Struthio camelus: one gene and its partners. The protein of the gene in region 2 purifies or fractionates together with the protein of the main gene of each other region. This does not show direct contact. Links are inferred from orthologs where the notes say so. Each region holds a gene or a part of one and is shown on either strand. Other genes may lie near its edges.

Region 1 (7,818 bases), on a different chromosome or scaffold from region 2:
ACAGCTTAAGGAACCAATTACATCCAACCCTCATATTTAAGGACTGTGAGCTCGTGAGTTTTCTTTTTACCCCATTTGGTCTCTGAAATGAGATATCATCCATTAAATGGCTCAAATGTGCTTGAGTTATTTTCATCTTAGTGTATTTTAAAGTAGTTCAATAAACATTTAAGACCATTTCAGTAGAGAAAACGTTGGAATACTTGTCTGTTAGTGACGTACTTACTTTGACCTGACAATTTCTTTTGCATACACATCTTCAATAACCTATGGGAAAGAATATTTCAAAAGGAATTTTAAGAAGTTTACATATTTAATGACATGATTAAAAATACATTCAAGTATTCTATGCACTCAAAGTTACTCTGAATTAGTTACTCTCTGTGTAATGCTATTTGGTCAAAAATGTCATAACAGATATGTCTCAGTTCTGAGGAGACCAAAAGCTCCACAGACAGACATCCGCACTAAAAAAATTAATCAGCTAAGGGGAATAAAAAGCACACGATGGTAGAGAACTGATAGGACCTTCATTCAAGTTATTCAGAAGGAACAACCTACACCTCACTGAGATTTGATACACAAGTCAAACAGCTATGTATACCTTTTTATGGCTCATCTTTGGTCTATTGCTGAATTTAAAGAATAGTCTTGAAGATTCAAGTTTGTATCACCCCAGGCATCAATTGCCACTGTTTCTTATAACTGACCAAATCCACACTGTTCTATATTTTCCAATAGGACTGAAAGAACTGTAGACAATTCATCTGCACTATCTGTTGCGGTAGGCACATTCTGATATCACATCTGCTGTCAGAGTTGTAATTTAGCTGATCATCTACATTCTAGCTCTAACAATCACAGATGCAAATATTACCACAAACACTGTAAAGAAAGTGGGTAAACTAAGGCAAGAGAGGACGGTTAAGCCAAATATCCACAAGGGAATGAAAACTAACATTTGAGAAGCCTGCACTACAGAAAACCAACGGAGAACCAAAAACATTATGCCAAATTTTAAACATTCACAATGCAGGTAACCACCAAAACACCACTTCAGTTCTCTGATCAAAACCCTCTGAAGAAGTTTTTAAAAGGAACCCTTACAGCTTAGTGTTACCTGCATCTTTGGTCCTTCTTTGATTTCTGACAGTGCCCCCTTCTCAAACATCTTTTTCTCCCTCACAAGCTCTCAAGCTAAAACGAACAGAATAAATAGCATGCAAAAGAACTGCACTGCTATAGCGCATCTTCAGAACGGTACCTATGTGTATAAACCACAAACAACTTAAGCAACAGCTAATAGCGTGCTAAGCAACTGTTGACTTTCCGAGTAGTCTCCTACACCCTTACAAAAATAAGCATCAGTTTAGCATGGCAGAAAAGTATTGCTTCTTATTCTTTTACAGCGCGGTACAATACCACTAAAAATATTTACCTTTGAATCAAAAGGCAACTTTTTCTTCACATGCGGAGCCCAGTATTTGTTTGCTAACTGTAAGGAAAAAAACAAGTTTGAAATACATTAAACAAACACACTTTCAGTTGTCATATGTTGTTCTATATAACACTCTAAACACTTTGGATTTGGCTGTGTATTTCCCTAGTTTCTTGCTTAATTTCAACTTACAGTAACTACATACAAACGTTATGTTCTCCAACAACAATAACTTTCAACTATTTAAGATTCTGTGCCTAAAATCTTTACAATAAAGGTGTGATGCCTCATAAAAGTTTCAGTTGCACACAGTGCTGTACTACAAAAGCAAACCTGTTTTTCTTAAGTTTCCCCTAGCAAATCCCTGAAAAATCTACAGGGATCTTTCAGGAGGCTGCAAATCCCTCTATTGAAACAAGTAATCCCACATGAAAAATTAAGACTTCAGAGAACTCTAAGCTTGTACACTTCTGAATCAGACTGAACTGGACAAGCAGCTGCTGCCAGGCTTTTTTATACAATGCAAAGATTAGAAAATTTTAACTAAATGAGTACACCCCACTAAAAAAACCAAGGGCTATATGTAAAGCTCCAATATTTCCAAACTATTCACTGTAGCTATTCCCTTTGTTGCAACAAAACTATTGAGCTATGCTGCCAAGGGCTGTCTTTATTGAAACTTATTTATGTGGTTGAAAAGAAAGCAAAGCAGTATTTTCAGTATAAAAAAAAAAAAGCTGTATAAAACCACTTAGAACACTGAACTACAAAAAATTTCATACAGTTTTTTGTGTACTATGACAATCCTCATTTATTTTGTAACATTCCTACTTTTTTTCTTCAAGTCTCTCTAGCCTGAAAACTCGTCGGGCACACACTCTGCCCTATGTAATCCAGGTCTAAAAAAATACCTGCTCGCTTGCGACAAAGCTAAACCCTTTTTCCCTAACACCGCAGGCTGCAAAGCCCGTTTATACAGCGAGATCGTAGCCACTGGGGCCAACGATGAAACAAGTTCTGCAAACGCAGAAGGGAGCCGGAGCGGCCTCACGGAGGCACAGCGCGGCCCGGCCCGGCACGACGCAGGGCGGGCGGGCGGGCGAGCTCCGCCAGGCCGCACGGCCCCGCGCAGCTCCGGCTCCGGCCCGAGGCGAGCAGCCGCCGCCGCCCGCCTCGCGCGCGGCCCGGCTGTTACCGGCCCGGTGACCAGCCAAGCCGCTGGCGCCCCGCGGCCCACCAGGCACCCAGAGCTCCCCCGGCCCGGCCCGGCCCGCTCCTCCGCCGGCCCCACCTGTGTCACAAACTCCGCGTTGATCTGCGACACGGTGGGCGCCACGATCTTCTTCGGCGGCGCCGAGGCCGCCGGCGCCGCCATCGCGCTACGAGCCCGCGCCGCCTCGCACGCGCCGGCCACGCCGCGCTCTCGCCCCCCTCGTTCCCCGCACAGGTGGCGTCGCCGCTGTCCCCTTGCTTCCCCCCCCTCGCCGCCCGGGAATGGCGTGTCCCGAACACGGGCTCGCGCGCCCAGAGCGCCGGAAGTGCGGAAATAGAAAGCGGAGCGGAAACAGCGGCCGGGTGACGGGAGCCGAGCGCGGGGGGCGGGGGGAGGGCGCGGAGCGCTTCCGGGGCACGGAGCGGGCTAGGGCGGCCGCCAGGCGGGGCGGGGCGGGGCGGGGCAGGGCAGTGGCGCCGCCGGGTCCGCCGGGCAGCGGGAGGGCCGCGGGGAGGGGGGAGGAAGCTGCAGTGGGCGAGCGGCCACGGAGTGGGGTCAAGGGAGAGCTGTGACGAGGCCGTGAGCCCCGGAGAGCCGCTGTGGCCCGCCTGGAGCTTCGCGACGTGGCGGCCGCCGGGAGCGGGGCGGCGGTAGCGGCCCGCCGCGGACAGCGGGCGGAAGGCCCCGTGCCGTCGCCAGCCTCCGCTCTGCCAGATACGGGATGTAAACGTGGTGGTTCTCAGCGCGCACTCGGGCGCGCCTGTGTGGGAAATGCCTGTGCGTCGGTTTTAGGCGCACTGCCCAAGCGAGATTAATTAGCCTGGGTGCTGCCATACTTGGCTGCACGTAGCAGTAGTCCAGACTAACGTGTCCGTATTTACAGTCCCTAAAATACTTCTGGCAGCACCAAAATGCATGGAGAAAAGCCTAGAAGGGAATACTGAAAATGTAGGTCAAGGCTCTCGGACGATTATATTTGGGTTTTTAAATTTTTTTTTTAATTTATTTCCCTGTTTGCTAGTGTTGTTTCTGTAACATAAATTATGCATGATTATGCAAGAGAAATAGCCAAAAGCTAGTTTGATAAAACCAAAGCTTGTCCCAAAATTACAGGGAAAGACTCTAGACAATGGATACAGTGATGACAGTGAAGTATAACATTTCAGACAGACTGCAGAGAGACCCAGAAGTAACTTAGGAACTCATCTGAAACTTTGAGGTGGGAGCAATTTGGTTATCAACGTTATCAGCCACACGCTGGCAGCTTATTGTTTCTAATTCTTTCCTATCCATTATCTGTCTGAGTTGGAGGTGTTCATTCTCTACCACCTTGCAGCTAATGATACAGGTAATCTGTATGAGGTGGTAAGAAAGCTCCTCTTTTGTTTTTTTTTTCTTAGTTTTCTGCAGAGAGGCAGTGGCAGTTTTACCCCTGTCTTGCTAGGTGGATAGATAAGTCTTTACTACGTTTCGGAGTCACTCTTAAGGCCTGTATCCAGGCCAGACTGCCGTGCTACGTCATCCCAATAGTGTTGCCGTATGACTAGGCCTAGATGAAGGCAGAGGCTGTGCCTAGAAGCACGTGTGACTCAGTATATTAGTACATTGCTAGGAAAACCTGAAAAAGCTGTTCAAAAGACTGCCGTCTGAAAAGACTGTAAAGGCAGAGGCACTTAAGAACACGTCAGGCTTATGGTTGCCGTTATGCCTGCTCTTCAAATGCTATATAAGTATACCTAGTGACTACTGCTGTTATTATTTAGAGCAAAGGTTTCAGTCCAAATACTATACAAGAGCTAATATGGAAAAGATCTGTTGTTAACATCAAACAAATGCCACCAAGATCTAAGCATAGTGCATGTTGTTTCATATATAGATATATATCTATAACATGGAAAATCTGTGGAGCAGAGGAGAGGCAAAAGGGCGAGAAGGGAAAAGTACATGCTTACAGAAACCAGCAATTTGGTTATGATTTAGAATGGTTTGCAATTAACTTATTCTATTTAGTAAACAGATTAATTAAGGAGGAAATTAACATAATCCCTAGAGAAGTTACAGTGCTTTGTTTCTGTGCTCATTATCCAGCACCTGCCACTTGAGTACTTTAAACTTCCAGGCAGATATCATTGAAGTCTGTTTGAATATGACCTCCTTTGTTTTGATATCAAGGTGATCTCCATTTCATTTCTTCAAGAAGAGGTTAAACTAAATATTCTTTTTGAAGTTGAATTAGAATGTACAGTGGGAACGGAAAAAGTAATGACAGTATCTCGACTAGGATCAGACAATGGCTGCATTCAAATAAATACACCTATTCCATTCCTGTGCTTTGCAAGATCCAGAAAATCTAAGTTCGCTATATGAAAACAGGTAAAATCAAAAAGTTTTCAAGAGCTAGTGATAATAATTTATGTAAACAACAAGGATTGAGCACTATCCAGTCTAATAATTAAAGATATGCAAATACAAAGCAATTAAAATACACTTAAACCAATGTACTCTGACATTTAAACTGTGATGAAAATCAGCAAAAGTCAAATGTTTTGATTTAAAGTAATCCACCTAGAGGCTGCAGCTTCATGATTGACTTAGGTTTATCTAATTCTGTACCGACACCTAAACAGGCGGTTACATTTGAGCTTTCTCCATTGCTTTGTATGATTGCTAGCACTTGCATTCCTGGACAAATGTAAAAAACATAAGTACAATTTACCTATGCTCTAAGCTCGCTGGATGAGCCTTGTTAGCATGTTGGTGTACCTTAGCCAATAAGTTGGAGAGAACACTGTTAAGTAGTAGCTTCCAGAATTAACTTCCCCTATACCTAACCACCTCAGAAATGAACATAGATAGCTTATGTTTGCATGTACCGTAATGAATAGTAATATAACAGTTTATCAGTTTGGCAAAAGGAGAGTACTTCTACTGCCCGTAAGTAGATTCGAGGGGTAAATGGCAGGAAGAGAAGGAACTACTGAAGGAACAAATCGGTGCTGAAAAAGAGGGCAAAGGAACAAAAGCTACGTACAAACAGGCTGAAAATAGGAAGGCTTCTAAAAATGGCTTTCAGGTGGGAGCCGTAAGTTTAACTTATGCTTAAGACATGGTGTGATATGTTTAGGAGAGATTAGGTAATGGTTACTTGGGATCTCAGTTGATAGTATTTTATGACCTTAGATTTCTTTTCCAGTAACATGCATTAAGTGTCACCAATGCAGCCTACCTCTCTCTCTTTTTTTTTTTTTTTTTTGGAACAATTACCATGCCAAAAGGTAGGCAAGGCAAATAGATTTTGGACTTGGGCTGGTAAATTTTCCCAGATGGTCTTGCATGGCTAAGTTAAATTATTCCAGCTGTCCAACAGTTGGCTTCTGTTTATGATAGATCATCAGTCTGTGAGTGTTAAACATCTCTCAGAAACCTTAGATTTCCGTATGGTATCTAAACTATGAAAGCTCAAGGAGGAATCTGTATTTACCTAACTTTTGGCCTTTGGGTGTCCCAATGAGGAGGTTAGTTGTCCTAGATTTCTCTGCAGTCAATGTAGAGTCAGAGACCCTTCCAGAAGGCACATCAGTGCTCATGTAAATGCTCTGACTCATTTCCTGGAGGAGCCTCTGCTGATAAAGAAAGCTAAAGTTCGATGCCTACTGTTAGGCAATATGATTACATCCCTTGATGGCAATGCCAAGTAAAGTGGTAAAGATCTCCTCCCTACAAAGGATGCGTTAAATATTAGTCTGTAAGGGACTATTGTTTAGTTACAGAGTACAATGATGGTAGGACTATAAAAGAATATCAAAAGTATTAAGTAATGCTTTGGCAAGATGTACTTCCAAGTATCAAGAGCAGCTGAACCTTTGAAGAGGAGTTGTGGTGAGATCAGACATACTGAGATCAGACATACTGGTACCAGTGTGGTGCTTATGTCCCCACCTGTGACTCACCCAGCTCACAACTGTCTGTTAAGACTGCTACACTCAGTTTCTCCCAGAGTGGAGGCATGTCTGTCACTCTCCACCTTAAAATGCTTTGTAGTCCAGGGGAAAAAGGAAACGCTGCACTCCGTCTTCCCCAAAGCCTGCTGTGAACTTCCCGATCTTTCTGTACTCGTTGACTTAATGCGTCAAGAAAATTAAATATTCTTTCTCTTCAAAAATCTGTTAATTCATTCATGAAGACATATATTATTTAAAAAGTCACATATTTGAGGAGATGCAGTTTTCAAGACTATTATTCATTTCCAGGCTGCATATATTATTGGTCAATTTATATTCAATGCTGCTTTCTTGCTTAACTAGCCCTTCTGGTTTTGGATGCTTGCCTTTCTGTGTAATTGTACCTAGCAAAAATATTCTCTTCCACTTTTACTTTGTAAACTGTACAAGCCAAGGTCATAAGCTGGCAATGTGATGATTTTCTAGCAATAAGAACTCAAAAAAAAAAAATCCATAAATCATTCTAATATTAATTGTGATTGCTTTAGGTTTTTCAGTGTGACATGAATTAAAGACAAATTCTGATGTTTTGGCCCTCTAAAACTTAATTCAATAGTTTGATGACGTTTCTGTGAGTCAGAAATTTCTGAGCTTATGACTTGGCTGTGTTGCTGACCTTTTATATGTTGATGCTGTTATTTAATTATTAACTCATAAAGCAAGAGCATTCTCAATTTGCAGTGTTTTGGATTTTGCACATATTGTGTAAGGGGTAAATATTCTTCATTCACTTTTAGTAGAAAAAAGCCTCAATAATATACACCTATGACACTATTTATAAATACCACATAGTATTTTAAAATTACAGCCTATTTTCACTCCATTTTCAAGTCATACTAATAGGGTTGTCAAGCAAACAGTCACCTGATTGAAGACTGTGGAGTTTTGCTAACTGGAAACATATTTTTTAATTTAAATCCAAGCATAAGCAGTCCTGTTAAAGAAGTCAGATGCACTAAAGTAGGAATAAAAAGAAACCATACAATACAGACATTAGTTGCCATGGTTAGAGAGCCAGAGGGACTCTTCTTCTAGCCTCTCTGAATGTACTCTAGAAGTGCTCCATCACCTTTTTCAGGATGTAATCTCTCTGGACTAAAAGCGAAATCCCAAATGAGGCAGAAAGCTCCCTAAAGACTCATGGAGCTCAGGCAGGGGCTGACGTT
Region 2 (7,456 bases):
CTGGGAACAACTGCCAAAGCATGTTGCAAACGATGTTTGTTATTCACTTCATGTTCCTTCTGAGCTTGTCTCATCTCTCTTCAGGCTCAGAGCAGACCCACTTACTATGCACCCAATCAAATGACGCAGATGAGACCTAACCCACGCTGGCAGCAAGGGGGGAGACCTCAAGGTGAGCATGCTAGACACAGTGCTTTGGTTGTATGACCCTTTTGGCTGTATTTTCCAACAAGAGCAATGCATAGTTTCCCTGCCATGCAGAGCCCCAACCTGCTGCTTGTAGCTGACTGTCGTGATTGCCAGTCAGTTCTGTTTTGAGGATTTCCCCTCCTTTCTTCCATTAGGCTTCCAGGGAATGCCAAATGCCATGCGCCAGTCTGGACCACGGCCAGCACTGCGCCATCTGGCCCCTGCCGGCAATGCTCCAGCCTCTCGTGGCCTCCCTGCCGCTGCCCAGCGAGTTGGTAAGGTGTCTGCCTCCCAGGCTCTTCCCCTCATTCATGGGGAAGGGGGATGGTATTAAGACTTGACTTTTACATCAGACGTGGATAACGGAAGGCTGCCTGGAGCAAGGGGCAAAGACGGCACCTGAATCTTTCCTGTTCCTTGCTGTGCAGTGCAGGTCTGGGGACAATTGGTGCTACAGCAAAGCAGTGGAAATCCAGATGGGTTGCTTTCCTTTCACCTGGAACTCATCTCTACAACTCTGCAACACTTACTGCTCAAAAATGGCTCTGTAGATTATGGGTGGTGGTTTCAGAGTAAAGCATCCAAATTCACTTTATTTCAGGGAATAAGTAGAAAATGTCTTAAAAGCAGATATAGAATCTATGGCTTAGTGTTAGGGAGGGTAGCTCCTTTCTAAAGAAGCCAATTGGATTTTGGAGGCCAGTTTCTAAACCAGTATTAGGCTGTGCAGTGCATAATTAAAGTCCAGCAGTTAATATCAGACATCCCAATTTGCTTGCTGCGTGTTACTGTGGCTGTGTAATTCTGTCCTACTCTTCCTTTTCAGGTGTTGCCGCTGCAGCGCAGAATTTAGCTCCTCGTCCGCCAGTAGCTGCCCCTGCTCCCCGAGCAGTTCCTCCTTATAAATACGCCTCGAGTGTTCGCAGCCCACATCCGGCTGTACAGTCTTTGCAGGTAATGCAGTGGTCTGCTCTGTCAAGTCTGTCTAGTTAACGACAGTCCAACAGGTTTTACACGCAGCTGAAGTGTTTTTACAGAAACTTCAAGCTACTTTTTTATAGTCCCGACAGGGATCAGAAACTGGAATTTAGAAAACTGGCAGTTGTCGTCACATACCTCCGCCAGGGGCAACTTGGTTGATTTGTCTGTCTTACTCTTCTAAGCCCTTTTTATCCAGATTTGCTGTAAGGCTGCTATTCTTGGCTCTTTGCTCTCACACTTTTGCTAGCTTTCACTCTCTCTCATCTCTTTGCTGAATTCTCGCTAGGGTATCACTGAAAGCACAGCTTGCCTCTCTATACACCGCTGCATTGTGCAAAAAGCAAACATGGGTGTTTCTCTTTCTCTGCCATGACATTTGCCTTATAATGCAAGGTCCAGTTTTTATAACTAGGATATTTGCAAGCTACGTGCCCCTGTGTGACATTCTAGTTTTTGAGAATAGGACTTGGAGCGTGTTTGTGAACACAGGGCACCTTATCTGTCCTTTTCTGAAACTGACTCTACTGCAGGCCTGACAGAGTGCCATGTTTTAGAGGAAGGAAGAACTGCCTTGTCTTTAAATATGAAACAATCAGTCTGGCATCTGTTTTTGAATCCTCATCTTTGCCATTCTATAGGCACCTCAGCCTGCAGTACATGTGCAGGGACAGGAACCACTAACGGCCTCCATGCTGGCTGCTGCACCTCCCCAGGAGCAGAAACAGATGCTGGGTAAGTGAATCTCCTGTTTTTTTACAGATCACATCTTATTTTGGAAATCCCATCAGGTTTCAGAGAACTGTTTGATGGAAGCCAGCCTGTCTGAACTGTTTTGTTTGGTTGGTTTTGTTTTTAGGCGAGCGTTTGTTCCCTCTGATTCAAGCTATGCACCCCAGCCTTGCGGGGAAGATCACAGGAATGCTGCTAGAGATTGACAACTCGGAGCTGCTGCACATGCTAGAGTCTCCAGAATCCCTTCGGTCAAAGGTAAATTGGCCTGTTCCTTCAGAGGGGGCGTGGATTGGGGCACCTTAGTGAAGAGAACAGGTCTCACTTTGATAACTTGTCCACCCAAGGTGGAGGAGGCTGTTGCAGTGTTGCAGGCTCATCAAGCCAAGAAAGAAGCTGCCCAGAAGGTGGGCGTGGTTGCTGCTACCTCTTAAACCAGGAAGACTGGTGAGTGTCCCGGTCCTCAGCTTCCGATAAAAGTTTCCCAAATCAGAGTACATAAAGCGTTATTGTCAGTGTGTGCAGCCTGTCTGGAAACCTGTGTGTAGGTCCAGGTGCAGCACTGACTGAAAGACTGATGCATTTTCTCCAATAGAGAATCGTTACGGTAGAAGCTGTAGAGGTATGCTTCAAAGATCTCACTGTATTTAAGTATCAGAAAGATGTTGCATAGGTTCCTGAAGTGTCAACTACTAGGAGCATGTCAAGGAAGGATAATATATTGAGATGAGGCTTCTGAAGCTGCTAATCTAGGAAATAAAAAAGGTAAAAGATGCACAAGATGTTCCAGTGACTTCAAGGCTAAATAGACTGCTAATGCCAGTTCCTTATCCTGACAATCATCTGCCTACAGTATATATTAAAGTCCTGGTGTCAGGAATGTCATTTCATTGTGTAGGTTTATCCAAGCAAGCACTGTCTGTGTTTGGTCCTGGCTCTCATTTGACTTCTGGATAAGATTTTTGATTCTTTGAAGGTTCTTTTTGCTTTTGTTGATGAATTCCTCCATGTGGGTTTGTCTGGACTTAACCATGAACGTCTTGCACTTTTTGTGAAGTTGTTCTGGTCAGATGTCACAGGAAGATGTCACAACTCCAAATGGTAAAGAATGATGAGGGTTCTTATATTTCATTAGTGAATTTCTGAGTGGATCCAGTGATTGGCTTCTCCACGAAAGATGTGAATTTCTTACCAAATCATCAGCAATGGATATTATCCGCAAGAGGAAGACAACTTCTCTGTTCGTTGCAAGTTATACTGGAGTCCTTATGGTTTATAACGCTGGATAGTTCACTAGCCTGGTGTGAACTATGCCATATGCAGATAACTTGTCTTCCTCTTTTTTTACAGGATGCAAAGAAGCCAAATAGTCCCTTCCTAGACATCAGCTCAAGATGTTTGAAGATTCTTCACTGTCCTGCAAATCTCAGTGCCATGCATCATATCACATAGTTAGTTATATTGCATTTTGTAAATTAATCTTTACAATCTTATTTAAAAAGCCAGCTCCATGAAGCTCTAGATTTCCAAAACCAGAATTAAGTTTGCAAGCTTTTCCTTTGTGGTCAGGACAGTTACCCTTTGTCTTTTCTAGGCAGGACATCGAGGATTTCTGATTGAAAGTTTTTTGTGGTTTTGGTTTTAACTGAACAATCCAGTTTGGAAAGTCTGGAAAGCGTTTATCAATAAAGGAATAAAAACTTTCACTACATTTGTTGTCTTTTTTCTAGAATGTAGTAAGCTGCATCACATTAACTTATCAAATTGAACTGGCAGGCAGTTGTCACATGATTGATATGTTAAATCGTGATTGAATTGAGTTATTCTGCTTGTTAACTTTGGACAATCACAGTTTTGGAGCAACTGTGCTAAAGTTCTGCCACAGGATGATTATGTTGGGTTTGGTTAGTGTCCAAATGGTGAATATAACCAAGTGGTGACCTAATAGAAGGCAGTGGGAGGCATTTTTCAAGTGGAGCATGAAAGAGGTTTGGATCGCTTTTTGTTGCCTGTGGGAGAAGAAATTCTTTCCTGCTCTTCGCATATATTCTTCCTTCTTTCAGCTGGATGTTTTCCTTAGTGGTTCTGTCATTACAGAACAATCTGGCTTTTTTATACTCTACAAGGTGGCTGTATTCTGGTGGTGAGGTTAGTAAATGCTTTGTAAACCATTTTGGGTGATCCTTTGGGATGAAAAGCATTTGGTTACCCTGTAAAAGGAGAATGGCTGCTCCCTAGTGGAACTGAGGCTTAATTTGGACTTGCAAAACTAGAAACTTGTGCCTGAGAAGGTCCTCGAAAAGCAGAAAGACCTCTCATGTGCATTGTAATGTTGTTTTGCCTGCCTGTCCTGTGGGGGGGGGGGTATTTTTATTTTTATTTAAGAGCAGGAGAGGGTAGTAAAACATGCAAGTATCCCCCTTGGAAATCAGGTAGTGTGACACACAACACCGGACCTTCCACGTCGGAGGCGCTGCCCGCGGGGAGCCCCGGGCGCGCCGGGCCGGGCCGGGCCCCGACGGCGGCGGCGGCAGCGGGGCGGGGCGGAGCCGCCGTGCGGTTCCGGGGCAGGGGCCGGGCGGAGGCTGCCGGGGAGGGAAGATGGCCACCACCAAGCGGGTGCTGTACGTGGGTGAGCGGCGGGGCCGGGGGCCGGCGGGCGCTGCGCGGTCGGGGTCGGGGCGGCGGGCGGTAACGCGCTGTGCGCCCCGCAGGCGGGCTGGCCGAGGAGGTGGACGAGAAGGTGCTTCACGCCGCCTTCATCCCCTTCGGAGACATCACCGACATCCAGATCCCGCTGGACTACGAGACCGGTGCGTGGTCCAGGGCGGGGGGGCGGCGGGGAGGGGGCTCGCCGGGGCTCCCTGCTTCAGCCTGGGGGCAGCAGCTTCTTCCAAGGGCTCCTCGCCTCGTCCTGGGGCTCGTGGGCTGGCCCTGGGGCTTGTGGTTTCGTCCCAGGGCTCAGCACTTCAGCCTGGGACTGGCCACCCGATCCTTGGGCTCAGTTCTTCATCCCAGGACTCCTCACCTCATCCTGGGCTCACGGCCCTAATCCCATGGCGCCTAGTTTCATCCCAGGGTTGGTTGTCTTTGGTCCTGCAGCTCATAGCCTGGTCCCAGGCCTGCCTGCCTCCTCCTGGGGCTCCTCATCTTATCCCAGGGCTCACCACTTCCCCTGCCATCTTGGGATGGGCTGCTTGGTCCTGTGGCTCACTCCTTTGTCCTGGGACTCACAGCCTGGTCCTGGGGCTGGTGGCCTCATCCTGAGGCTTGCAGCATTGTCCTAGGGCTCCCCACCTCATCCTGGGGCTCACCACTTTGTCCAGGGACTGACTACTTGGTCCTGGGGCTCAGTCCTTCATCCCAGGGCTCATGACCTGGCCCTGGGGCTTGTGGCTTCATCCCAGGGCTCCTAATTTTGTCCTGGGGCTCCTGATTTCATCCTGGACTGTCTGGCTGGTCCTGGGACTCACTGCTTGATCCCAGGCCTGTCTGCCTCATCCTGGGACTCCTCACTTCATCTCAGGGCTCACCACTTCATTCTGGGACTGACTACTCATTCTGGGGCTCACGGCCTCGTTCTAGGGCTCCTCACCTTGTCCTGGGGCTCACCGCTTCATCCTGGGACTGGCCACCTGGTCCCAGGGCTCATGGCCCGGGCCTAGGGCTGGCTACCTAGTTCTGGGTCTCCTCATGTCACTCTGGGGCTCGCTACTTCATCCCAGGGCACACCTCCTTATCCCTGCTCCCTTTGACTGCTCGTTTTTCTCTCCGCAGAAAAGCACCGAGGATTTGCCTTCATTGAATTTGAGCTGGCAGAGGTGAGGAAGGGGCAAATACTTGAGCAGTCTGGAATCTCTTCTTCCTTCCGTGGCATTTTAGACCAGATCCTCCTCTGGTTGAAGACAGCAGGAGTTTTGCAGCTGATTTGAGCAGGCACAGGTTGCCTGTCCTAGCTATGGGCCATTCTCCAGTAGCTGCAGTCGAGTTGCTGTTTTGTCTTTCCGAGTTCCCAGTTTTCCCATTGTCTTTTGGGCTGAAGCATGGCCACTCCTGGTCCAAAACACCCGCTTGCTTTCCCTAGAGCTCATTTTGTCTTCAGCAGCAGTGGGTGGGTTTCTCAGCTTGGTTGGAGCATGGGATGTCATGACCTATCGTGGGCTTCATTAGGCAAGATCTCTCGTCTCCTTTCCCAAATATTAGTGTAAACAATCAAGGATCTTACATGAAAAGAAGAGAAAAAATGGCAATAATGATCTTTCCCTCTTTCCCCAGGATGCTGCAGCAGCTATTGACAACATGGTATGGGCTCTGTTCCCATCTGCATGCTGAATGCTGTCTTGGAAAGTGAAATCGCTGCTCCTCTCCTCACAGCGTGGGGCTTCGCCCTCTTCCCAGTAGGAGCAAGGCAGATTGTTTCAGAAATACCTGTCAGCTCATCTCCTTCCTCCGCATGCCTGATACCGCACCATTCGCAGGAGGGGAAGGAGAGCACAATAACAGCCCCAGAACCGAGCTGTCCTGGGCAGCCAGTGTTGGGAACGGACACGAGCTGGCGATAACCCCAGCAAAGTTTAGCGGCAGCTCTGGCTGTGTATAACGTCGATGAAGCTGTCTGCAAAAACAGGGCGGGCGCTGCTTCAGGTGTGGCCCCGGGGGGCGAGCGCCGGGGCTTGAGCGCTGCTGTGGACCAGGTCCTTGCCCGCTTTGTTTGCATGTTCGCCGTTGCCTGTGGTCTGGTTGCAAGGTCTGGGGCCCTCAGTCCAAAATCAGGAGGAGGGGGAGAAAGGAAGTTCTGTGTTTCTTTGACCTCTGCAGGGATTTGGAGGGAATAGCGATATTTTACCTTTTGGTGGGCTTTGTTTTGTTTTTTCCTCTACAGAATGAATCTGAGCTCTTCGGCAGGACAATCCGTGTGAACCTGGCCAAACCAATGCGGATTAAAGAAGGATCATCAAGGCCTGGTGAGTCGGTGCTTGCGAGAGGAGCACAGCCCAGTGAACAACTGTCAGCACCTCGCGCTTGCTCCAAAATCGGCCTTTCTTTCTGCTTTCCCAGATCCTGGGGCAGAGACCTCAGCTTGTATTGCTCTGCCTCCCATTTGGGGGTCTCACCAGCATCCTAATAACCAAAAATACCCGATTCCTTGATGAAAACACACTTTGCTGTGCTTCCAGCTGCCTTCATGTTCTCTGACTGTTATTTCCCTGTTGACCTGGGTGGCGTGGGTGGCTGCATGCTTTGTCTTTTGGGGTAGGCTGCTGCCAGCCGAGCGCTCCCGCGTGCGATCCCGCTGCCTGGGCCGTGCTGTGCTCTGACCCCACGCAGCTGCATGCATGCTCACACGTGGCCGTTGGGTTCGGTTCCCATGCTCTGACCCTTCCTTTTGCTGTCGCAGTCTGGTCGGATGACGACTGGCTGAAGAAGTTTTCGGGGAAGACTCTGGAGGAGAACACAGAGGAGGGGGCAGCAGAGGCCCCCAAACCAGAAACACAGGAGGTAGGAAAAATAAATGAGCCAAAGCCACAGGGACTCCTGTGAGCGGAGGAGGGAACAG
Region 3 (7,301 bases), on a different chromosome or scaffold from region 2:
CACTAAGATCTTCTCAATATTGTGCAATATACTAAACTGCAGAGCAGCTAGTGTAACCATTGTTCAAAGGCGGTACATAATTGTTGCTTTCTTTTAAAGTTCCTCAAGAACGTTCAGGTTAGTACTGAAAACACATTCAACTTTCAATTTTTATGCTAGTATATTCACCGTAAAATAATTTAATAAAAGCATTCTATAACAAAGTGAGGTTTCAGGAACACAAATTATTTAGGTAATACTACGTTCCCACTCAAAGTTATTTGTATCTGTGTACCTGCTGTGAATGAAAATTCATAGGATAGCGGTAATACAAACATCATCTAAACCTTGATAACCTTCATGTATAATACAACTACTTATTATAGGTACTTCTTGCAGCTCAGAACTGCAAAGAAACAAACTCATTTTGAAACCAGGAACTGCTGCACAGCCTCAGCAATGAGAAAATCCAGATTTTTTAGGATATTTGCAGGCCTCCAAGCTGAATGTTTTTTCCTGCGTGATTTTAAAATTAATCATACTGAACAATTTTATGCTGAACAAATTTCACAACTGTGTAATTTTATACACGCAAAAAGAATTCCCACAAGATAACAATGTCTGTTAGGGTCAAGATAATAGTGCTTAATATCAATGCAAGATAATAATAATTCACCCTATGTAAAAGTGTACAGGAGACCTACAAGTCTCACGCGCTATCTCCCAACCTCACGTGAATATCAAAATACCCTCAGAAATCTCAAGTTGTACCAAGACGCATATGTGAGGACAAATGACTCAATTCCTTGAAGTTAAGTATGCTCACATCTGTAAGAGAGAGACTTCATCTGGAAGGTATGCATTTACATGCATTTTAAGAAACAAAAACGTCTTAGTAAAAATCTATTGGTGGCATTTATTAAAGTTCTTGTGACTAAATATCACTTGCACGTGTAGTATATAACTCTTCATACTATCAGGCTATAATGTTTTTTGCAGGATGCTAGCATTACAGATCAGAGTGCATGCCACAATCTAGCTATTTTTGTTCTAGTAGACTTTATAATACCACCCTACTCAGCATTAAATGTCTTGTTATGGCAGCAAACGAATTCTTGCTTTGTCACAGCCTCTAGAGTCAATACCCTAGTCTTTGCACGGAGGAAGATGCTGCCAAATTCATGCACGTACACCCACATTTGACACCGAACAGAAGCAGAGATCTGCCGATTTGTATCTGTATCTTTACCCTTGGCTGGGAAACAGAGATGAAGAAGAACAGGGTGAGAGCGTAACAAAGTTCATACAAGTTACGAGAAATGCGTAAGATCTACTTACCCAGATGTGGATGTGTGTGGCTTCTCATCTGCACCTAGATAACAGTCAGGAGTCATTTCTTACAGTCCATTCTTTTAAAAGAAACATCCCTCACGTAAAGTCTTACCACAGCAGTGACTTCACAAAGATAGCGTCTATTGTCATAATTTCTCAACTGCCGCGACTTAAGTGTCCCCTAGGACCGTCAGGTACTACCGGTGCTAACAGAGTTCCAGCCCTGCGCACACAAAAAGTTACTCTCAAAGAGGCAGTGTTTGGTTAAGCCTAGCGTTTAGTCAAGCCTAGAACAGTAGTTTGTCTTACAACACCTAATATAACAAAGAAACGTAAAAATACTCGTTGTGTACGAACCAGGGACAACAAAGTATTTTGGAAGCACAGAGATAATTCTTCAAAGGCAGAGAACTCCAAAACGTTTGTTTTCACAAACGCGGCATTTTCATATGTTACGTATTCAGTAGCAGCAAGAGAAGAGATTCACCTACCTTCTTTCCTTCAGCACAAAGTTTTGTGAACGGTTTGAGGTAACCTAATGGCTTGATTTCACTGGAAAGGAATACTTCTACTCCGAGGCAAGCGTTTCCACTGCTTACTTTACATCGTTTCTCACGCTGTCCAGACCAACCCCACCACCCACGACCTAATGTGGCCCACCAACCCAGAAGAAAACTAGCTAACCTACCAAAATAACAGCTTTCTCCTGGCCTGGTGAACAAACACATTCCAGACGCAAAACGTCAGATTCTGGCACGCGCTTTGTAGGTATTGTCATGCCTTTACCTTTTGCTCTCTTTAATTCCGTATTTTCCGCATCAGCGTTTTTTCTCTTGACGGGGTGAGACGACGTGCCAGCAGCTGAACCGCTCGCTGCCTGTTTCGTGCCTTTTAACTCTGCGACTCTCTGCAGAGAAGCACCAAAGTCAGGAGGCCGTGAGCAGCTGGAAGCGCGGCGCACGGAGAGCAGCACGTCCTTAGGGGGGCCCTAAGGCCGCTCCACAGCCAGCCCGCCCCCTACAGCGGGCATCACCAACGCCCAAAACCCAGCCCGGTGCTGGCGGCAGCCTCCGGCGGGGCAGGGGCAGGGGCAGCGCCGCCCGCCCAAGCAGCGACTGCCGTCGCTCATGTTTACAGCAGAAAAGCACAGGCGTACAGAGCAGCAGGCTCGACTCACCCCAAGGCCCCGGCACGGGAAACGTTGTGAAACGACCCCCCGGGCCCCGCTCACCTCGCGGTGCTGCTTCCCCAGGGCGTGCGTCGGCCACAGCAGCTCGCTCTTGACGGGCGCGTTGCAGAGCGCGCAGCTCAGGTGCCCCAGGCTGTTGTACGTGCGCCGCCGTTAAGGGAAGCCAAGGCGCTGCCGTGCCGCCTCCCCCCCTCTCCCCCCCCCCCAGCCCCGGCCGCCCCGACGACACGCCGAGGGGCGCGGCGGGCCCCGCCTCGCCACCCCGCGCCGCGAGGAGGGAAGGGCCGCGCCCGGGGAGCGGGGCGGAGGATATTTGGCGAAGGGCGAGTCGATCCGCTTCTTGCCCGCGTTCTGCCGCTGCTTCTCCCGCATGAGGCGCCGCAGCTCCTCCTGCCGCACTTGCTTCCGCCCCGCGCCCACCCCGGCCGCCGCCATCTTGTGCGGCAGCACCTCCCCCGCCGGCGGCGGCGGCGGCGGGTGGAGCCAGCGCCGCGAGCCAGGCCCCTGCGCGCGCGCAGTGCCGGGGGGCGTGACCCGCCCCGGGAGCCCCGCCCCCACAAGGGGCGTGACCCGCCCCGGGAGCCCCGCCCCCACAAGGGGCGTGACCCGCCCCGGGAGCCCCGCCCCCAGCGCGGGAGCGGACATGACTAAGGACAGCAGAGAAGTTTCCATATTTCATTTTTTTTTTCCTTTTCATTTGTGATGGTACAATAAAATAATTAAAAAAAAAAGGGGGGGGGGGCCAAGTTCTATGGTGTCAAGTCTAGCACTCCAAACTGTGAGCTACTACGACACATCCAAAAAGCATTAGCCCAGCTTTACAACAGTATGACTGCCCGGAGAACTCGGTCACTGAGAACATCTCCAAAAAGGGCATGTTTTAAGCCATTCTTAAAAGTAAAGGGCAAGAAGTCCCACAGCTCAAGACTGCAGCTCCGCGAGCATCACTCTGGTCTGTCTCACACTACGGCCTACAGGGAACCGGGCAACTGTGACTCTACTCCAATCTTCAGAGAAGACAAACTGCACGGTGAGACATTTTGCATGAACGCCAATCCGAGACGTGTAAAGGAAGCAATACAGCAAGTGGAAGGCAATGGGATAAGTGAAACTACTGCAAAAGTGAACAACTTCTTTGCCTTTTCACACGGCCAGGGCAGGTGGTAGAGGAGGAGAACTGATTTGGTAGCAAGGTAGGTACAACAGGACTACAGCATTAGGGAGAATATACCTTAAATTTGACTTTGAGATCCATGTTTACCTTTACAAATTCTCAGTGATTCCAGTTTTCCCCTGTTCCTTCCACGATTGTAGTCTGCTGCACTTTTCAAAATTTTTTGTTGTTTTTACTAAAAAAATAGAGGCTATTGTGGAAAACATGAGGTGTAAGGCTTATCTTTCAAAAATAAACATAAAAGTCAATCTACTCTAAAAGTTCTTAGAAAACTTTAAACATAACCATCAATTTTCCAAAATGAATCAGTTCATTTTTATACCTAGTTTTCAAAACAATGATTTTTCATTGCACAAATTTGCCTTAATACGCTTACACTTTTGCCCTAGAAGCTGAACCCTGATAACGGGAGCTATCACAGAAGTTCTTCAGCTCTGGACATCCTTTTCTGAATCCAGATGTGCTGGTGGGACAGGTTCATCATCACGCCTTTTGCCTCAGATTACCAGATTAGCAAAGATTTACTACTTAAAATCTTGAAAGTAATCTGTCCCGCTCTGAGACGGGTTCGGGATGTATCCACCCAATCAGGTCTCAAGGAGCAGCAGTCTCTGGTAAAAGAGTGATGGTAAGTAGCGGGAGTCAATGACCTTTTCCACGGACAGAGAGATCCGAAAGAAAATGTCTGCCTATAGCCTTAATACTCTTGCCGAAAAGAGAAAACAACCAAGGAGCAGCAGAAGTGAACACAATCCCAGGCATGACCACAACTCCTCATGGGCAGAGGAGAATACTTTGCCTACTATACACACATCTGTGAAAGTTCAGTGCGTTAGAGCACATTTACATTTGAGAAGGTGAGGATCCTTTTCATCAAAGGGAAGCGGGCAATTTGGCATCCTCTGAATTAAGCAACCGTGTTGCTGTTGGTTTAAGAGTCAGCAGAGTCACCAAGCTAGGGCTTCACGAAAATGGCTACAACTGTTCCTCCCTGTAAACTTGAAGTGCTGGGCAAATACAGCAGGACCAGAGCACTAACACTAGGAAAAAATACCCACAGTCCTAGCACATATACCATTTTCTAACTCATAGTCAAGTTCACCAGGATTTTAGACCTTAAAATCTTTTATAGCTCCTACAAACAGAGTTTCATATGGAAAAAAAAAAAATGCAATCTTAAAGAAACTGGTGACAACAAAAATATGGCAGCTTGAATCTTGATATGGTCAAAAAGCATTTTTACAATAAAGGTGATTCATTTTTAATGCAGGGCTACCACTTCATTTGTTCAATGGTGTTCTTCACTAAAGAAATGCTCCTCCAATTATAAACACCAGAGAAATATTGCAGGATAATCCTTTAATGGTTGTAACTTACTAGAAATTATCCTTCTAGACACATTCTCTTTTTTTAATCTTGTAAAGAGAGCTAATCACAAAACAGTCATACGCAGATAAAGACTCATTATCTAAGGGGCCATTTCTAAACATCCTCAGTCTCTGACTGACGTGAGATGAAGGAGCTCAGGTTTGTCACAGGAACAGGCTCCTACTGGTCAGTACGTCATCGGTCACTGGGTATGACAACAGACCTACCTATCAGAAGCGTCACTGAAAAAGCAGCCCCCATTGCAGGTAAGCCAGCTGTGAGCTGTAACTCACAATTGCAAGCACAGCTGCCTGCACCTGCTGGAACAGTTACTACCTCCTGCTAAAGTTCATTTTTCACCTACCAGGGCACGTATCTGTCTGCAAACATCAGTCAGAAACAATCACTGCAATTTTCCATTAAAAATTCAGTGAAACCAGAAGAGAAGCCAAAAATATCTTTTAAAATAGCTCCCTACTCATACCTTGTTTGAACTGAATCCTTGGTATATGAGCAGCATAAACGATCCCATTTCATTTCCCACCATAACTCAAGACGGAACACTAGAAATAAAAACGAGCTATAAAACACATGGTATATCAGAAATCCATGTTAAAAAAAATACACCTGTATCAAGGAGCTCAACAAGAACGTAAAGCACTACTCAAAATTAAGTACCATGCATGTTACAGTACATTCCATTTATTATGACAACTTAAGGCTAAAATAGGTATGACTCCCTTATAGTCAAGCTTTCTTATATTTATCAATGCATACAAACAATAAGTGGATACAAATGTGCGGTCTTTTTATTGCTCTGAACGGTCTACTAGAATGTTATACTTCCCCCGTTTGCTTTTTTTTCAATCAAATTGAAGTTCTACAATTGCAACTTATGGCATTTTTATGGTTATAGATCTTCTTTGATTTGAGCTGTAAATAAATTCCAAGACAGAGCAGACAAAATTGCCCATCACTGCAAACTTTGTTACTGAGTTAACTAAACACTCGTCCATAAGCTACATGACAATTCACCACAAATGTTATTTCTGCAGTTCTTTAGGAAGGATTGTTTTCTTTTCAGAATAATAGGTCTCTAACCAAGTGGCAAACATGACAACCAGCAAGTAATGATTGACTAGTACCAGTCTAACAGACTGGGCTTAAAAAAACAAAACAAAACAAAAAAAGCTGAATATGTGCTCCAAAACAAAGAGCAAACTTTTCTTCTTGCTCATAGAGCAATTATGTTTCCTAGTTAAGTAGAGCAATGCCTCATTCTGCCAGCGCCAAATTCTTTGATTGCAGCTTATCCATTTCTTGACCAATATTTCCTTCAATTGTATCACACTGGGCAAGAAAAGCCTGAAAACAGGAAACAAACAAATGTTATCAGGGATGCAATTACAGCAATGGTAGACTGCTTCTTAAGAACAGAAGCTAAAGTTTCCATCACGTAAAGAAGGCAATTCAACAGCCACCTCCCAGATCAGTTTTGATAACGGTTTATTACCAGTTTTATTTACTTAGAATCTAACAGAAACACGACAAGGCAACAGCATGGCTGTCCATCCTCACGAGTCCTGCCACTGAACCATTTCGAGTTAATCCAAAGTCCACAAACATCAGTAAGGATCAAAAAGGTTCAGACAAGGTGAGGCTTTAGTTTTAGACATAACTTTAAAACTCCTTCCTGTAACATATACTTCTGTAGTGCACTTTGTACCTAAAGCTATAACAGAAAAGCATTTCCACTGCAAAGTACTTCTTGGTAGCGTTTCCTCTAAAATGGGTACCTATTTAAAAATATTTAGGAAACATTTTTGATAATTATTTAATACATTTTACAATAAAAGACAAAACCTTGCAACTGTGTATATGAATGCAAGGTACATTCACAAACAATTTTCAGGAGTCTAACCTGTGACTGAAGCTAGTATAATACAAATCAAAACAGAAATATGAGTAGGATTACCACTCATTTATGGAAGTTTTCTTTTTTGGGGGTGGGGTAGAAATTCCAGCATTTAGTAACAAAACTCCAGATTAAGGTCTCTAAGGAAGCAAGGCCTAGGAAAATCTAAACATCACAACAGCAAAGCAACTAAAGAATCCAGCACAGCTGCTGTTCTGTACAGCTTTTACTTTAAAGGCTCGTTGTCTATAGAAAGTTGGTACATTGCAATAGACACTAAATTTTCCAAAGAACACCTCTAGCAAGGTGTTGCCCAGCTTCCAGTACGAGTCAGTTGGCGGCAT
Region 4 (7,293 bases), on a different chromosome or scaffold from region 2:
TACTTTATAGTAGCATCCTACACTCTTTAAGATATTAGCAGAGAGCAGAACACAGATGGAATAAGATGAAGGTGAAGATCAGAAGGTACCTTAGTCCTTCCAGCTGCACAAAGCATCCAAACTGCATTATACTTGTCACTTTGCCATTGTAAATGTCGCCAATGGAAGGCTCTTCAGGTGGTGGACGGTCCACATGTTTGTCTCTCCATCTATCATTGCTCTTCTCGACATATTTCTCTCGATCCTTACGGTCCCTGCTGGGACTCTGACTCCTGCTCCTTGAGCGGTATCTGGATTTCCCCCTGTTCTTGTCCCAAGTCCTAGAACGAGACCTAGAACGAGACCTGCGTCTTCGCTTCCTGTCCCTGCTGCGGCTTCGGCTCTTCCTCTTTTTTTTCGCCCTATCAAACAAACATTAGACGTCTACACCGAAATTCTGCATAAGAACACAGTGGGTAGACAATATGAACTGCCTGTACCCATCCCCTAAAGACATACTAAAAACCTACCGGTGGTCACTGTTCCTTTGCTTGCCTTGCCTGTCGGCACTAGGCATTAGAGCTTCAAGTTCTTTAAGTGCATCAGCTGCCACTTTCACATCATCTTCATCCAACATATTCTGCAAGGACAGAGAACCATTCTGTAGGAAGGCTGATAAGAGTCTGTCACAAAGAATTAACCTACACAAAGAATAATCATGTGCATTTCTGTTTAGAATTAATATAGGATAAAGAAAGATCAGACAGAATACATGATATAGAAAGAAGAAATGATATTATTAAAAAAAAAAAAAAAATGCTTCCTCCCATTTTGCCATAATATTGTGCCAATTCCGCTTTTACAAAAAGAAGAGTTTTATCTCAACATCCAAATTATTACCGAAATACAAAATACAAATTCCTGGTATCATTTTAATGTCCAAGATTTTCATCTAGTTCATGATTAGTTGCTCTAAACATTATGTCAGAAAGGCCAGGCTACAAATTTCACATCACAGGAGCCTCATCTTTCAAATATCCTGCAAAATAGCATCAATGTGGCAATTCCTGTAACAGCAGTTCCTGATAACTACATCCAATAATATCAGCCTTCTGCTTCTTCTGGGTTTCATTTCTCATGGTCCATTTTTATTCATGCATTAGCAGGAGATACAAATGCTAACATGAATACAACTTGAAACTAGAGAACAACTGCAGAAAATAAGTGTTATGTTTCCATACACTCATGAGAGAAATCTGAAATTATGACCTTACCCTGATGTTGGGGTTGTCTGGCCTGCAAAGGGCTGGAAACAATTCCTTCAACTTTTCTTTCTCTGATTTGGGTTTGACAGCTGCCTCTGATTTTGAGATTAAAACAGACACACACAAAAACCTTAGAAGTGCTATAAGGATTTGCCCTTGACATTTGTGAAGCTGAATATAAAGTTTAATTTTCATCTGAATGCAAAGATTAACACAGCTGTCACAGATTAAATTCAAAAATTACAATGTTATCTTTCTATAAATGATATTATGATTAATAGCAAACCTGTGAAAAACATAAATGCTCTAAATACTGTACTCAACATGTTTTCAGTGCCACAACAGCTTTGCAAGCCTACCACTAATAACAGAGAGAAATCCATTACAGCAATAGGATATGTATTGTCCTACAGGACTAGAACAATAACTACTTTGATCTGACCAAATATGGCCAAAAGCTACAAAAGGCAAGTTTTTTTTTCTACTGAACTGATGAGAGATAAATTATCTATACCTTTGCTTGTAGATGGTTTTGATGGAGGCCGCATTGTCTGTATGAGACGTAGCAAATTACTCACAAGGGAATCCTGCAAAATTCAGGAAAACACTTTATTCTGATAAGCAACTTCAATGCTTTTGTTCATTAATATAGGGCTCAAGAGAGGGTTTGTTAGGAGGACAAAAAAAGCTCAATGCTGAAAATGCAGGCTTTGTTTTTAAAAAAAAAGCTTCACGTACAGCCTAAAACAAATATAATAACTTGGATTTTAAAGTGATTATGATAATTCCATTTAACTGATTTTCCCACTCATCACTTTTCTAATCACCTACTTAATCCAACTACAGTAATTGCTGAGGAACACAGGAAGATGGCATCTAAATATCATAGAAAGACTTCTGCTAACACTTGCCTTCATGACAAGGTGTTTCTTCTGTATTTCACATGCTCAGCAATCAGACAATAAACACTTCAAGTAAGGCCTCAGAAGGATGCTTCACAAAGACTATGAGTGTTCAGAAAGAGGAGGAGGAGGAGGGGTAGGAGAAGGCTTGATCAGATAGGTATACTCAAAAGCTATATATTTGCATAGTTTTCCAGTTTAAAAAAAAAATCAAAAAAAAAAAAAACCCACACCTCTCTTTTAAAACAAAAAAGGCTCTATAAAATATGCCAGGTCAAAAATGTACAAATAATGTCTAGCTCTCACTTACAGTGAACTCAGCACCATTCTTTAGAAGAACAGCTTTAAATGTGTCAAACGTAGTGTTTTTCTCAGCAAGATTTATCACAAACTCGGCTGTGAAGAAAAAGTATAAAGGAAATCAGAGCAAATAATTCAAAGGCAGCGTAGGCGCACGTTCTGGTAAGAGCTGTTCTGGCGGCAGCCCAGGGCTCTGCTAGACCTATCCACCCACAGCAGCGCTTTCCTTTCCGAGCCCCTTCGTGGGAGCCCAGCTCCAAGCACTTTCTCGCGCTCGCGACAAGCTTTCTGAGGGAAGGTCCCCTTTTTTCCTCAACCCGAGAAGCCGCTCGCAGAACAGGCCCCGGCCGCCGGCCGCGCCGGGACAGGCCCTTCTCCGCGCCCCCGGGGCCGCCCCGCTGCCGGCTGGCACCGGCCGCTCACCCAGGTCCTTGTCGTTGATGCCGAGGTGGTTGTCCAGCTCGGTGCACACCTTGGAGACCAGCGACAAGTACTCGAGCTTGGCGAGCTCCTCCAGGGCCACCGGGTCCGCCATGACTCCCCCGCCCCCTCACGGCGCCACTTCCGCATCCGGGACGCGGCGGAAGCTCTGCGCCGAGCATAGAGAGGTGCGCCGTGCTAGAGCGGCCCTCCTGGGGGAGAGTCTGTAACACCGGCTTGGTGGTTGTGGCGGGCGAGGGAGCCAACGGGGGCGAAGGCGGGAGAAGGCGCCGCGGTGCCTCGCGGGAGGCCGCAGCGGGCGGCGGGGCGCGGGGGCGGCGGGGCCGTCGGCTCAGTCCGGTTGTCTGCTGAGCGTTAACCCTGGAATAGCGCGTGCCTCAACAAGGGGGGGAGGATGGACGTGAGAGTGGAGCAGCAGAGAGGAGGACCAGCCCCCCCCCCTCCGCGTCGGCCCTGAAACAGGTGGCAGCAGAACCGGCTCTGATGTCGCTCGGTTGCGACGGCCTCAGTACAGTGATTAAATTGTCCTGTGGCAGGGACAGACGGGGAGCGCGGGAGGCAGGGTTAGCAACAAAAGTGAGGCAGCTCGTAAAATACTCAGCATCTTGCCAAGCAAACGAAGTAACCCATCCACCACTCCCCACCGTGTGTGGGGGCGCGTCGCAGCCCCCAAGGTGGGCTTTCTTGACGAGACAGACACGTTCTGCCTGGATGAGATCATTATTAGCCAGCTGCTAAGTACCCTCATATGCATATCTATTTCTTGAATTATAAGCATAAATTGAACGAAGCAAAACGCTCTGATGCCAGCAACAGTGTCTTCTCAGCACCGTTGGAGCAATGTCTCAGCAGTGAGTTAAGTCTGGATTCCTGGCTATCACAATATTTTTTTTTACTTATATACTTAGATTCATTGTGTATTAGATTCATTTGGACTCATTTCACCAAATTTTTAACTTTCTGCTCTGCTGGGCTGCTGCAGATGTAATCAGTGGGCTGCCTGTGCTCTGGAGTGAACTTGGTCCTTCTGGCCCGGCTGACACATCAGACCCCTCTGACCCGGATTTCTGGAAGAGTAACCTCCTTCCTGGTATGTACTAATTAAATTACCCCAAAATAAGAGGGTTGTAACATACTAACATGTCATAATATATTCTATATTCAAAACCAAGTTTGTAATTCAGCAGACAAAATTGATTTATGTACTGAAACTTTGAAATCCTGTCAACTAACAGTATCAGCTTCTAAATCTTGCTCCCAGGCTCTCAGTCCCTTGTGAGGATGGAAGTCTGAGCCTTGTCTCCAGGTCTGCAGAACAGTGCACAGACTGCAAGTGAAAAATGCTGCGTGCACAAACATAAATAAGTCTAGCCAAATTGTGTGTACATGCTAGCAACTTAGGCCCATTAACAGTGGAAAATATGTCCAGCCTCTAGAACGCTAGGTGAAACAATAGCATGTTATTCTTTCAAAGGCCAGAATTAGAGTGGAATTTATGTGAGCTGAGTACTACCACCTTAATTAATCTAGCAGTTTATAGACAATAAATCATGTGCTGAGTTTTAAATTACTGTGCTAGACACATTTCACCTCACATATTCACTTAGCGTACCTCCTCAGCACTTGCAGAAGATTATTGGGAAAATCTAAATAGAGAGTGAATTTCCATACTCTAGGAAATGTTCTACATGAGACAACGATAGCAGACTCAAAGCCCTACTGCAAACTGCATTCATCAGCAAATTACAGCAATTAAGTAAGGGACTCCAGATGAATGTGGGTGACAAGCCCACCACGTGGCAGGTATTTATTAGTAATTAAGCTTTGGCAAACAGAAAAGAACCAAAGACTTCATGCTGTCAGCCTATGTGACAAGCTGAAAAGGAAGTGCCTGCTGTTGACTGAGCACAGAGACAATGGGGGCCCAAGAGAGACTGCTAGACAGCAACGGACACGGAGCACTGTGGAGCAGCCAGGCTGAGATCCATCAGTGTTTTCAAAAGCCTGCCACTTAGAACAGAGTGCATGGAGCACTGCAGAGGTGACAGTCCTGGGGCTGTATGAGCTTTGATTGCATCCATCTCTTCAGCTGCCTCTCCAGCTCCTTCCCCATAGTCCCAGCCTTGTGGTTAAGGGGGAAAGGAGCTACTTGAAAGCTCTAATCCCTGGCTTAGTCACTTCCACAATGCTATGCATCTCCTAGCACACAGCACTCTGCAAGCCTCTGTCCATATGAATGGACAGCTGATGGATTTCTACAGTCCTCCACCAGAGAGGGAGGAAAGTTTCCCAGTTCACACATGGGAATAGCAGGGTCACAAGAGTCTTGTTAGGTAATAAGGGTATAAAACAGTGAATTTTAATACAAAAGTTCTCTTAGAAACAGGAGGAGAAATAATAAAATGCTGATTGTTTGTATTGATTTTGAATCGAAACAGCAAAAACGTGTATCCCAGTTTCTAGCAATTTGCCATCAATTAAAAATAGAAGTCAGGCACAAAGGCAGCACTATCAGCTAGTGCATCTCACCAAACCCACACTTCAGATCTCCTTGAACTCCAGTTCCAAAGACAGACCTTTGCAGCAGCTCAACAGAGCTCAGCTTGGCACAGGCAGCTGTGAGAATCCAAGCTATGAGTCAACATAGACAGTGAATTACAGGCAAAGATCAGGCTGCTGAAAAGGAGAAGGTAAAGGAACTCTCTGGATTTGAGCAGCATGGGTCTCAAGGGTGGGGCAGAAAAATTAGTCATGTCTTGTGTGGCAAGTTATTACCATTAGAAAAAAAAAATTACATTTCCTAATAAACAGTTTGAATCTCAAACGTTAACAGTACCTAGCACAGCTCCTCTGCAGTGCTTCTTAGTTGTACATGTTGAGCAAGCACCAATCTGAGATTTTTTTGCTCACTAGCACTGGTTTAGCTGGGCGCTGAACCGTCAGGTGCAAAGCAGAACCTGCTAGTCTAGGGCAAGGGATAGAGGCAATCTCATGCAGTTCCAGAATCAGCATTAAAGGCATAGTAAAGTCTTGTTTTGGAAAGCAGGAAATCCCTGCAGCAGCAACGCAAAACTCATTTGTTTCCCAGTTAAAAACTTCTCCAATAATCCCCAATTCCTCATGCAAACCAAGGGCTTGCACCACTCTGGGTCTGATGAGCGGCTTATGAGAACAGAGTGAAGATGTGATTCTGGGAACTTGCCTTAATCAGACAAGCTGGGACCCTTCCAAACACAAGCATCTCATTGCAAAGCCTATCACAAGAGATTAGCTACAAGCAGCTGCTACTGCCAAGACTCTTTATAATCAGCCAAACCCATCCCAATCTATATGATGCACAGATGGAGCCCGGGCCCCCTCTCCTCTGTCCCCTACAGATTAGCTATTGTATAAGGGGTTTCTGGACTGCAGACAGACAAGCAGACGGCTGGAGATGGATGGGAGAGGGGAAGGGATAGCACTTTTCTCAAATCTGGTTGATTTGAAATGGCTTCAGATCATGACTGAACTGACAAATGTGAGGGTCTCCAGCACATACCCCTAGGTCAATATTGCTTCTGTCATTATGGATTAACATGGAAGTTAACAAAAAGCAACAAAAGACAGAAGCAGACAGGAGTTCAGCATGCTTTGCATTTTAGCTGTGCAATTCACAATTCCCCAAAATCTCACAGCAATTAGGTAGTCAGCATGCAGAGTGAAATGAGAGGTTATTTCCCAAGCAATGTAGGAAAACAAAAAGGAAGCGGCGGAGAGAAGAAAGGCAGAGAACAGTGAGAGGACAGTAGTAGCACATTTACAGAACAACTCAACTGCTACCACATACCACATTTCAGTGTTTTCATGCTTCCTGAGCATCAAGCTCCAGGTTACACATTTCTGCAAGGGATATGGTGGAAGTTCCCCTGTCTGGACTCCAAATTATATCTGTGGATACCTGGATGGAATTTCTACTTCACGCATTGTTACGTACGACTCCAGTTCCCAGCCATGGTCTTCTGAAGGATTTAGTGGAAACCCCCATCCCAAAGTCCCTGCATTATCATTCAGGAGAGAATATTCTGTCTTCGCATAAAGCCGGCACAAGGAGTCCTGGTCCATGACTGGGGTCCTACAATCTATGATTACTGCACTGTTCATCATTTTATCTTCACCAAACACACCACTTATAAGATCGAATTCAGCAGTGATGCTGGACATAGCTCAAAATCCATCTGTTGAGCTGAACCTGCATTTCCTGAGGCTTCTTTCCCTTCTCTACATATTATGTGTATGTAGCAGGAAGACTAGGAAGCACTATCAGACAGCTGACTTAATACAGTCAGACTCCAGTGCTGAGGTATTAAGCATTTTGTATTGAGTTTATTGCTTTTTCAAAGACTTCACTGAGAAGGTCATGGAATTCT

Evidence for each region.
Region 1: the proteins of PPIE (region 2) and AQR purify together in Homo sapiens (affinity purification with mass spectrometry; 5 studies listed by BioGRID and IntAct, counting the BioPlex papers as one, with this or other methods). This does not show direct contact. The link is inferred for Struthio camelus from reciprocal best matches to the Homo sapiens genes PPIE and AQR.
Region 3: the proteins of PPIE (region 2) and ZNF830 purify together in Homo sapiens (affinity purification with mass spectrometry; 3 studies listed by BioGRID and IntAct, counting the BioPlex papers as one, with this or other methods). This does not show direct contact. The link is inferred for Struthio camelus from reciprocal best matches to the Homo sapiens genes PPIE and ZNF830.
Region 4: the proteins of PPIE (region 2) and DHX8 purify together in Homo sapiens (affinity purification with mass spectrometry; 3 studies listed by BioGRID and IntAct, counting the BioPlex papers as one, with this or other methods). This does not show direct contact. The link is inferred for Struthio camelus from reciprocal best matches to the Homo sapiens genes PPIE and DHX8.

What each region holds. Positions count from the first base shown.
Region 1 is NC_090946.1:50,546,503-50,554,320, reverse strand, and holds the start of AQR (RNA helicase aquarius), read right to left. Parts: upstream 3,011-7,818; 5' UTR 2,814-3,010; coding exon 2,730-2,813; intron 1,496-2,729; coding exon 1,439-1,495; intron 268-1,438; coding exon 227-267; intron 1-226.
Region 2 is NC_090964.1:8,126,639-8,134,094, forward strand, and holds the start of PPIE (peptidyl-prolyl cis-trans isomerase E), read left to right. Parts: upstream 1-4,437; 5' UTR 4,438-4,500; coding exon 4,501-4,531; intron 4,532-4,613; coding exon 4,614-4,712; intron 4,713-5,676; coding exon 5,677-5,720; intron 5,721-6,174; coding exon 6,175-6,201; exon of another isoform or gene 6,202-6,504; coding exon of another isoform or gene 6,505-6,543; intron 6,544-6,781; coding exon 6,782-6,863; intron 6,864-7,297; coding exon 7,298-7,398; intron 7,399-7,456. Other genes in the region: PABPC4 (polyadenylate-binding protein 4), read left to right, coding at 85-172, 345-464, 1,016-1,143, 1,809-1,902, 2,027-2,157, 2,247-2,333. UniProt on the Homo sapiens protein: Involved in pre-mRNA splicing as component of the spliceosome. Combines RNA-binding and PPIase activities.
Region 3 is NC_090943.1:70,979,337-70,986,637, forward strand, and holds the start of ZNF830 (zinc finger protein 830), read right to left. Parts: upstream 3,014-7,301; 5' UTR 2,936-3,013; coding exon 2,814-2,935; intron 2,643-2,813; coding exon 2,543-2,642; intron 2,219-2,542; coding exon 2,098-2,218; intron 1,352-2,097; coding exon 1,318-1,351; intron 1-1,317. Other genes in the region: BAG1 (BAG family molecular chaperone regulator 1), read right to left, coding at 6,318-6,407.
Region 4 is NC_090966.1:8,060,238-8,067,530, reverse strand, and holds the start of DHX8 (ATP-dependent RNA helicase DHX8), read right to left. Parts: upstream 3,015-7,293; 5' UTR 2,982-3,014; coding exon 2,870-2,981; intron 2,543-2,869; coding exon 2,457-2,542; intron 2,247-2,456; exon of another isoform or gene 2,162-2,246; coding exon of another isoform or gene 2,156-2,161; intron 1,832-2,155; coding exon 1,759-1,831; intron 1,340-1,758; coding exon 1,254-1,339; intron 681-1,253; exon of another isoform or gene 620-680; coding exon 510-619; intron 402-509; coding exon 90-401; intron 1-89.